Linked DNA regions of Drosophila melanogaster. The protein of the gene in region 1 interacts with the protein of each later gene in a pairwise test. Each region holds a gene or a part of one and is shown in the gene's direction. Other genes may lie near its edges. The genes, in order: Lcp65Ag2, CG2082 and CG16978.

What was found.
Region 2: the proteins of Lcp65Ag2 (region 1) and CG2082 interact in a two-hybrid assay, tested with the Drosophila melanogaster proteins (one large-scale study listed by BioGRID).
Region 3: the proteins of Lcp65Ag2 (region 1) and CG16978 interact in a two-hybrid assay, tested with the Drosophila melanogaster proteins (one large-scale study listed by BioGRID).

Annotation. Positions count from the first base shown.
Region 1 is NT_037436.4:6,132,490-6,135,746, reverse strand, and holds Lcp65Ag2 (Lcp65Ag2), read left to right. Parts: upstream 1-2,153; 5' UTR 2,154-2,214; coding exon 2,215-2,333; intron 2,334-2,394; coding exon 2,395-2,593; 3' UTR 2,594-2,757; downstream 2,758-3,257. Other genes in the region: Lcp65Ag1, read left to right, coding at 534-652, 714-912. UniProt on the Drosophila melanogaster protein: Component of the cuticle of the larva.
Region 2 is NT_033777.3:5,768,771-5,773,579, reverse strand, and holds the start of CG2082 (uncharacterized protein), read left to right. Parts: upstream 1-1,681; 5' UTR 1,682-1,878; coding exon 1,879-1,950; intron 1,951-4,809.
Region 3 is NT_033779.5:13,142,634-13,145,275, reverse strand, and holds CG16978 (uncharacterized protein), read left to right. Parts: upstream 1-1,653; 5' UTR 1,654-1,678; coding exon 1,679-1,969; 3' UTR 1,970-2,062; downstream 2,063-2,642. Other genes in the region: CG9928 (uncharacterized protein), read left to right, coding at 2,411-2,642.

The DNA of each region.
Region 1 (3,257 bases):
TCTCCGTGCAGGATTTGAGACGGCACAGAAATGTTTCTTTTTTTTCGAATACCTCCAGTGACATTGATCGGTCGATCCGTGGGATCTTCTGAAGCCAAACTGGTGATTAGGGATCATTCCGGCGTGTCCCGCAGAATCTCACGCCAACTGTCCCGCCAACTGTCCCGCCGATTTATCCAGCCGCTTTCAGATTCTGCTTGTGAGATTGCCATCTATTGATAATTTTTCCTTGTTTCTCATGTGGTTATTAATATCAGCCGAGTATTTTTGCTAGTAACAACTGAGTTAGTGAAACCAATTTGAACAACTTGCCTAAACTTGTTGATTTGCATTTTGTGTTAGGTTTTAAGCCATTCAGAGATAGCTGGTACTCAATAATATACATTTTTCACATTATGTTTTGACTAATTCGGATGCGTTCAGCATAATCGAGAGGTTGTCCAACTATTTAAGACGCGCCCTGGCCAACAGAGAGCATCATTCGTCGCGAACTGTTCGATAGCCGCAGATCTAAGCACCAAACAACAATCACCATGAAATTCCTGATTGTCTTCGTCGCCCTCTTCGCCGTGGCTCTGGCTGCTCCTGCCGCTGAGGAACCCACAATCGTGCGCTCTGAATCCGACGTTGGACCCGAAAGCTTCAAATACGAGTAAGTTGCCTATGAGAAATGACCCAAAAGGATACCTAGCTGACACTGACTTCCTTCTTAGCTGGGAAACCTCCGATGGACAGGCTGCTCAAGCTGTAGGTCAGCTGAACGACATTGGAACTGAGAACGAGGCTATCTCTGTGAGTGGATCCTACCGCTTCATTGCTGATGATGGCCAGACCTACCAAGTCAACTACATCGCCGATAAGAACGGATTCCAGCCCCAGGGTGCTCATCTGCCCGTTGCCCCCGTGGCATAAGTTTTTCAACATTTTTAACTAGTTCCTTTTTAATGTCGGTTAACAGGAAATAGAAAACCTTTATTACCGTTCTTATCAAGGAGAACAGAATCTAAATCAATAAGCCTAAAGTGTTATTAAAGAAAAAATTATTACATGAAGTAATTTGTTTTAAATGGGAATTAATTGTAGCAGGAAATCATTGATCACTTATCTATAAACATAAGATAATTTACGTAAAATATAAATATACTTTTTAAGATATAGCTTTTCCCAATGGTCTATTTTAAAAACAATATTCAAAGTGCTATAGTTTTATTGTGATATAGAAGTTATAAGTTATAAGTAATAGAAGTTATAGACTTTTGAGAACTGTGTTTAGATTAATCAATCAATAATATTGAGAACTAAACCTGACATAACAACAGTTCATCATATATGATAAGCTGTTATCTAAAACAAGAGAGAATGCTTAGTGGAGTTCCCCGACTATCGGATACTCTTTACTCAGCTGGTGTGAATGCGAACGCGAAATTTCATAATTTTTCTATGATACCGATAGATATTATGAAATAAAATGAGAAAAAATTTAAAAATTGTTTAAAATGTGGGCGTGACAGACTCGGCTGCTTTAGGGCGTTAAAGTAGGCGTGGCAAAAAGGTTTTTCGCAAATCAATAGAAATTTACAAGACTAATAAAAGTATGAAAAATATCGAAAAATGGTTCGAAAATGTGGGCGTGGTAGTTTTGGCGGTTGTAGGGAGCTAGACTGGGCGTGGCAAAAAGTTTTTTTTTTGCAAATCGATAGAAACAAGACTAATAAAAATGTGAAAAAATTATCAACACGTTTTTAAAAAGGTTAGGCGTGCTTATCAGCATAAAATATATGAGTCCAAGTAAAAACATTTATTTTTGTTGTTGACTCTTTTTGTTTTTGTCAGTTCTGGGCACTTTTTTTTAGCTGCTATTAGTTAAACTTAATGCATTTGCCATGACTTCTTATGTTTTTTTAGCTCCAGTTAAATAGAAACTACGAGAAGACAGCTGAAAAAGGAATGCGAAACTATGCAAACTATATAGATGAAGATGTCCGATTTACATATCGTATAGGGCTTTTAACGATTCAGCTTTAGGCCGAATTCAATTTCACACATTTATCACATTTTGCTTTATACACTACAAGTTTGACTAGTTTGGCAGCGTTGGGCTCGGTCGTCAAAGTTTGTCCATCCATCTATATAAAGGGAGTACAACCATCAGAGGGCATCATTCGTCGCGAACTGTTCGAGAACCGCAGATCAAAACACCAAACAACAATCACCATGAAATTCCTGATTGTCTTCGTCGCCCTCTTCGCCGTGGCTCTGGCTGCTCCTGCCGCTGAGGAACCCACAATCGTGCGCTCTGAATCCGACGTTGGACCCGAAAGCTTCAAATACGAGTAAGTTGCCTATGAGAAATGACCCAAAAGGATACCTAGCTGACACTGACTTCCTTCTTAGCTGGGAAACCTCCGATGGACAGGCTGCTCAAGCTGTAGGTCAGCTGAACGACATTGGAACTGAGAACGAGGCTATCTCTGTGAGTGGATCCTACCGCTTCATTGCTGATGATGGCCAGACCTACCAAGTCAACTACATCGCCGATAAGAACGGATTCCAGCCCCAGGGTGCTCATCTGCCCGTTGCCCCCGTGGCCTAAGTGAAATTGCTTTGACCTTTAGCAATTTTAAAGCCATACTATCCAACTCCTTGTTAATAGCCCCAAACATTACCAAACCAATCCTATCCCTGTTTTCAAAGGATGGGAACTAAGTCAACCAGCACCACTTGTTAAATATTAAAGGAATTTAATTACCTGAACTTATGTGTGTTTGTTTTCATAAAATTCATAATTATTTTATTTTTCAGAAGAAGTCGAAATTAAGTTTTGAATACAATTAGCTTTTGATTAACATATGGGGAAGGTCGTAGTCGAAAAAGAACCGACTGATTATAGATATTCGAAGAATAGAAACTGGTCACAGCGTGTATACGTGACCGCTGCACGATTAAATGTTTGTAAAATACTCTGATATTTGATATAGAATACTCTGATATGTAGAATATTCCATGCTTGTTGGATTGCTGATTGATATTTTCTATTAATAATTAATGTATATACCAATAGTAGTGTACACAAAGCATTTGCTGAGGCTTTACTTATTCAAACATTAGATGATAATATGAGAAATGACAATGGCAAAATCACAATGCACAATAATAAAAAGTTCGAATACAGAACTTTATGCATCTCGACTAGAAGACATCGTTTAAACCTGAGTTTATATGTATATAGCAAATGGTGATCGTGTACTGTTTTTTAT
Region 2 (4,809 bases), on another chromosome or scaffold:
AAAAATTATGACACATATCTGCTTATGGCCTTGGCGGAAATGCATGCAAATTTTGAGAAGATCAGCGAATTGCTCTCGTAAAACATACATTTAATATGGTTCATTTAACTGAAATGAAACAACCTTTTGAAATTTTTAAAATATCTTCAACGGTTTTTCTTTCTGTGCTCTTGTAAATCGAAAGAATTTAAAATCGCATGGAGTATCAAGTATCCAAGCCTTCAGTTCATCCAATATTTTTGGTTTACCCCTAATTGGCTTCAACATTTTGCGCTTTTCTCATCCAACTTTAAATTACTTTCACTTTGGCCAGCCAGCATTTTCGAGCTGCATCATCGGTAGTTGCGAAGGGGATGGCCTTCGATGTCAGCACATAATAGTAATCCATTCCATCATATCACCGTACCGGCCGCACCGCACCTCTGCACCTATGCTCTGTGACCCTTTTTCCATATCCATATCAGAAATTTCGACCCGGCGGCCACGCCCCCACCCACAGGCACAGCCCCTCGTGGCATAACCGCAGCCGGCTTGACCTAGGACACGCATATTTCTAATGCGCATTTCGCCAGAGAAGTGGGCGGAATTGGGGTGCCCGGGTCGTCCGGGGAGACGGATTTGCGCATTTCCCGCGCGCTGACAAATTAGCACATCAAAACAAAAAGGCCAAAAAGGCTTAGAGCAACAAGAGAAGAAGGGCTGCAAAGGCGAGAGCCCGCCGACAATAAAGAGTCTGCTCAACAATGCCACCGAAAACAAAGTAAGACAAAAAGGATTTTTACATAAACCCACGCAAGACACCCACACAAACGCAGGCCAGCAGAAACACACACACACACTCTTACAGCGACGAACGTGAGTGGGCGCCAAACTAAGCGCGCCCAAAAGTAGGCAACGGAATTTTCTCGGCAGAAGCTGTAGGTGCGCGTGTGTGCGTGCATGTTGCAGTGCGAGCGTTGCCAGATGGAAAGAAACGTATATGTGAATGTTCCCTTGAATTTTAAACTGCAATTACGTTCTTTAGAGGTAATTGAAATATTTGGGATTGCTTGACGTAAACAAATGAGAATGAGAAATATTTATATTTTCTGGTTGGTATCTAGAATCACTCTTTGCCAAAGCTAAAAATACTATAAAATTACACCACAAACAAATAAATAGTTCATAAGCTGTATTTAGCTAGGTTTTATAGGTAGCATATTTGTCTAGATGCATATTTTAAGTAATCGTAATGCATTGAAGATTCCAGAAACTACTATTGACGCATACAAAGTCAAAGGACCAGAAACACAATATCTAAATGTGATATAAATGTGATATAAATTTAATACTTTTCAACACAAAACTCAGTTGGGAGTCGAATTTCGTAATGCGTAGTTGGTGGGCAACCATCTGGCCACGCTCTGTGCAACACCTTCCCAACAAACTGCCCTACGGCAACATTTCAACACTTGGCCCACCCCCAACCGCCTCTTTTTCCCCGGCAGCATCACTGCGAGAGCGAGAGAGACAACGGTAGAGGGGGAGCGAGTGGGCAGAAGGCGATTTCACTTGGCCATTTCACTCATCATCAGTTTGTTTTGCTCCCCGTTTCGCTCAGCTTCGTTTCGCCTCGGAAAAGATCGGCTTTTCACGCCGGCGATGGCGATGGCGTAGCATTTTCCCATGATAAGCCAGTTTTCCCAGTCGTCGCCAGGCGTTCGAAGATTGCGCATTCGTTCAGAAACGCGGTTCCGCCCGATTCGCATCCGATTTCGGTTTCCATCCTCGAGTGCTGCTGTGCGCCTGATAGAGCCCCGTTCGAGCCACGCTTGTGTGTCCCGCAGTTCCTTTGAGCAACCCAGTGAAGTGAAGCTACCGTCGCCCGAATCCCACACCATGTCGAAGCCGGGAACCCCCAAGCACGGCGCCGGCTCATCCTCAGCAGCTGCTGCCCCCGAGAAGATTAGCGTGAGTTCCGACATAGCAGTTTACCGCCAGGAGGACAGCTTTTCGAAAAGTGCATCCTGGCTGATTTGGGATGCAGAGCATCAGAACACCATAATATCATGTTCCACATCACTCCCGTCCGTCAAGTGCGTTAATGCGCTTTTCTAGAATTCTCTCTGTGCGTATACGTAATATTCGTAACACGCCGAGCTGCAAGTGCGAGCGACTACTTCTGTTAACATCTCAAGTGTCTGAGTGGTATAATCTTTCAAAAAAGTCGGGATAAATATTTGCACGGAAATTAGTGATGAAATTGCAGACGAGTGAATTAGTTTGCTATAAGACCAAGTTGTTCTGAATAATATTTAAAAACCTACCTAAATTAAGAAATTATGAAATATTTCTGAGCACTTGTACCACGAAAAAGCTATTAGTTTTTCTTCCACATGAAAAGGGCTAAATAGCACGTAAATGGAAAATTATACTATCAAAAAAACGTAAGGTGTTGAAAATGTAATCAACTAATTTCGTGACAGTTCGAGGGCTTTGTGGAATTAGTCTACCTAAAATTCATCCCCTTTACTTCCTTCAATTAAAAAAGGTGAGCGCGAAATGCTAAGCCAGACTAAGCCACCGCGATCGAATAGAGAAAACAGAATACAGAATATATTGTAGAAACATATGCTGGTGACCTCGAATTCCCCTTTTGGCACGGGGTTACCTTTTGTAGTTGGGTGCTGTTTGCTTTTTATTTTTTTGGCCCTCGGTGCCCAGTGAACTGGGCTCAAAGGGCATAGCATACTTTCTGTCTTGCGCCTCATAAAAATTGCATAATTGTCGTTCTGCATGTCGTTGTTTGTGCGACTCTTTGTGTGGTCCTGTTGATGTGGCTATTGGAATGGGGGCGACTCAACCATTAGCCTGGAACTGCATGTTTCTTTTTACGTGCCATTTGCGGTCGCATCTGGCACACAGCAACTGCGTAGAGTGGGCCAAAACGAATCTAGGTGCTCAAATGGGCAAAATTATGGTGTTCGTTCGGTCTTATTGGCCTGCTATTTCCCTCTTTTATTAGGCAGCTAATTATATGGCGACAAAGTGGTGCGGACTCTAAACGGAAATAAAGGAACATATCCAAGTTGAAAGTTAAAGTGAATGCACCCACTTCATTGAAATATGGTTAATTTATTGTTGAAATGCTACATGTTATTTGATAATTTGCGGAGAAAACTAATAACTGGAATATAAAAATTAAATCTTTATAAATATTTGCTATGTAGCATTTTTTCACTTATTCGCTTTTGGCCCTCGTGGCTGGCTCATAATTTCCCCATTTTCCTTTTCGACTGAGCTCATTAAATCCTGACCACAATGTGAGCTGCGCCACTTCCACCCCGACCACATGGTGCACACCCTCTTGTCCTGCATTGCAATCTCAATCCAAATATGCTGACTAAAGGGCTTTGCTGGAGTAAATCTCTGCGATATATGGCTGTATTCCTGTCCGACTCGCTTTGTTTCCCAGTTTTCCGCAGGGCTCGCTCATCCCCTCAAGCGGAATCTGAATGCGATGGAATTTAACTAGGGAAAAGCATAATGGGGAGTCGGCTGTCCATATAGGGGTATGCATTATACATGATACTGCAGACCGGGCCAGACCTATACCACTATTCCCACGACTTTTTCCATTTTCCTTCGACATTCTGCCCGCGGGTCTTCCATTGGCCGCCTTGAAGAAACTTCCCATAATTTGTGCTGGCCCACACTCACACTTCAGGATATAAGTCCTTTTCGGTCAAGTTTGCGTTCTTTGTTCCGCCCAGCCAAGTTTCTTCATCCTCCGAGTTTGTTTTCGCCGGAGCATCTGGCGTGTCCCCTGTCCACAAGACGAAAACTTGTTGACTTCGAAGGCATCGAAAAACACGCGTTTCTCCTTTTATTTCAATTTTTTTTTCATATTTTTTCCTCTATGCATTGTTAAGTGAGTGGGAAACGGTGGCGTAAGAACTTTGCCACCGGCAAAGTGTCAAAGTTTGCAAGGCAAGGTTGCTCATACGCCCCGTTGCCCCCTGCGGCTGCGGGCGCAAACTTAAAGAACATTTAATTGGTGGCTTTAAGCACCGGCCTACATGCCCGCGTGATTTGTTTGTGTCTATTAAAAATTCCCTGGCAATGCGGTCGCTTCGCCAGAAAAGTGTGCTGGAATTTTGTTTGCACAACTTTTCGCATCACTTGGGGGCTTTTGCCTTTATGCAACCGACCCCCACCCCTCCCCCTGCAAGGTTTTCCATAAATTCAAACACTTTTACCCAGATTTTCACCGCCCTCATAACGGCATCCGCAGGCTGTTGGAAAAGTGTCGGGGCATAAAAATCCCATCAAGTATACGTCAAAGTGCGGCCAACTTGTGCTCCTCTTAGATAATGCCTGGCAAAAAGGTCCTGCACGAGAAGTCAAAACGATTCCAATTCCAAAATGCTGACTGTGACTTTTCGCTCTGGATTTAATTGCATTTCAACTAGATAGGCAAATTCTACTTGGTCTAGAAGAGCCATTAAATGGTTCACATCTACATATGGCAACTGAATGTTTTAGTCTCCGAAAATCCACCTGCCACCAATCTTTGAATCGGACTACTAGGGCAGAATAAATATGTAACTATGTCCCAATTATAATGCACTGCACAATGGCACAGTCCACCGATGATTACTATGGATACAGACTCGAATTTGTGTACATTAGCAGGATTTGCTGTGCCAAATCAGCTGGGAAATTAAATATCATATCAATTATGTGGCCTGCACAATGCACCTGCAGAATTCAATCCAGGCAATTGCTAATTGAAACATTTCGCCCGCCACTGGGTATTCGGAATATTAA
Region 3 (2,642 bases), on another chromosome or scaffold:
AAAATATACCCACAAGCTTAAGGTATATATGAAGAAAATTTAAACGATTAGATGTCATTTTTGGTCATAATTAAAATCGAGTTATTTTTACAACTTCAGTATTATCAATGATATTGATCATTGAAGCTTCGAAAAGGGTATTTAGACATTGGCTGAAAAATATTTATTTTCCTCCTCTTTTTTTTGATTGACTTTGGTTTTTATGTTATTTGGTCGCGTTGCGTTGAAGTTGGTTTTGGCTTTGGACTCCGGTGAAGCCAGGGGATTTGGGGCTAGGGCTGGGCCGTCGTTTGGGTACGCTTTGATGGCTTCTAGGTGAAGGTCATTGTGTGACTGAAATGTTAATTTGACTGACTGTCGTACTTTTATGCCGGAGTGCCTGGGCTATTTCAGTTGTATCTTTTTAATGGCACTTGCTAAGGTTCTATACACCTAGAAGTGGGTATTCATGTCGGCTTAAAAACCACTAAACAAAACTCAAAACCAACTTTGATTTGTTGCGCCGCTGGTATGCGGCGATTTTTAAATGACTGACATTTGCTAGCAAGTCGACATAATATACAAAAGCATCAGAAAAAGTTTGAAATTTTTTAAAATATACATTAATTATAGAATTGAAGTTGAGGATATTAAAATAATTAAAAACATATTTGTGGTTATTATTTCAGTTGCCAGCAGAGTTTTTATATTATATAAAGAATTTTCTGAAACGTTTTAGAAATGACTAAAAACGATCCGTGTAACAGCTTACTTTGATTTCAATGGCGCAGTCTTAGACTCCAATGATGGCGATGCAAATGAGCGACATATTTGCAGACAAGTCCACCAGCAATTCGGTGAATGGGCGGGCGTCTGCTTCCCCGGAGGATAATGAGCTGCAGCCCCCGTGAATCGAGTCTGGTGGCCCATCTAATGGTGTTGTTCGCATGGTGGTTAGATGGTTGAATGCTGCAGCTACAGCAGCAACGATTCAGCACCGTTTTGCTGATGCGGCACACTCCAATGCCATAAAAGGGCATTAGCCTCGTGAGTAGATTGCATGTTTTTACCACAGGTTTTCGTGGATGGGCTCCCGTCTTTTGGGGTGGCAAAGTGAGGTTGTACTGGCAGCTGAGTGCGCGCGCTTTGGAAAATTGAATAAAGTGCCGGAGGAGCCAACGAAGGATTGAGGCAACGAAGCGGAGTAAAGTGCTCGATGCTGGCAGCCAAGTCATTTAAGGGTTGCCGGCAGCACTCACATCGGCCTACAAGGAAAGATGAAATACAGTCGCTTTGCTAAGTTTATAATCCCTTATTTAGAGTACATTTTCTGACTACCCAGCTAACTAACACAACTCTAGTAACTGACAGATGATTGGCATGGCCGAGAATTTTCTCAACAGACATAGCAATTATTTGGAATTAATCATAGACTTATTTGCATGACTGTTGATCCGCAAGTGGCAACGTGTCGTATGCGCAATGCTTGCTCTTGCTGGGTCTGCGATGATTCAGAGGGGACTCTAGTACCGCCCAACGCATAAATATGAATGAGGAAATCGAAGCAGCTTGCCACTTGGGCTTAGCCCAGACTGGATTTTCCAGAATTCCATTGAACTTATTACTGACCGACACGATCCATATAAAAACGAAAGAAATTGCATCTGGCTATGCAGTTGCCGGCGGTGCATTGATCAGCATGATGAGCCGCATCATATCATTGCTTCTCCTATTCGGAATCATTTGTGCTGCTCTAATTGCCGGCCATCCGCACGACCTTATTGAAGATCCGGAAGGTACCAATGATGCTTTGGAGGAATCTGGCAGTGGATACAACAGTGCCGAAGAGTTCATGAATGCAATGGACGAGCTGATCAGACGCTGGCAGGAGAACGATGCAGCTCATGAGAACTCAACTGACTATCCAAGTCTTGATGACGATGAGACGACTTTGGATTTTATGGATATTACCACCGAACCGGCTACTTAATATGGAATTATTTAGTAGTGCTGTAATGCTAAGTCATGCTATCCTATTGTCTGTAAATAATCTAGTTCTTCAATAATAATTATTAAGGGAAATAAAAGAAAGTTTTTAGAAATTTTAAAATGAAATCAATCAAGAGAGAATCAAGAGATCTTCATTTTTTGATAATGAATGTTGCCTACTCCGCAATTTCGATTTTAAGTACGCATTAAATACTAGTCATAGATTGAATTTAATAGCTCGTTTAGTATATCAATTAAGCTTGTGGTAAGCTGTGTTGCTGTTAAGCTGGAATTTCCCGCACTCACCTCTGTCTAAAAGTATACATATCACCTTTAAACCAACCACTTAGAACTGCTGATAACCCAGGGCAAGGCTATAAAAGCCCAGCTCAAGAGCCGACTGACATTCAGTCAACTGTAGCCAGAGCTAATCGAAAGAAAAATGCAATCCATTCTCCGACTGCTGGTGCTGTTTGGATTAATCTATACCGCGATCGGTGCATCGGGTATATTTCAGAATATAAACCTCGGTGGCGAAGGAGGAAGAACACGATCTTCAGGTGGCAACTTGGACTGGAGCGATAGTGTTCACAGTTCTGATGACGATAGGACTCTGAAGCTACTGGAATCGTTGGATAACAGTGGCAATGATAGAAATAATTGGGGCAACGATG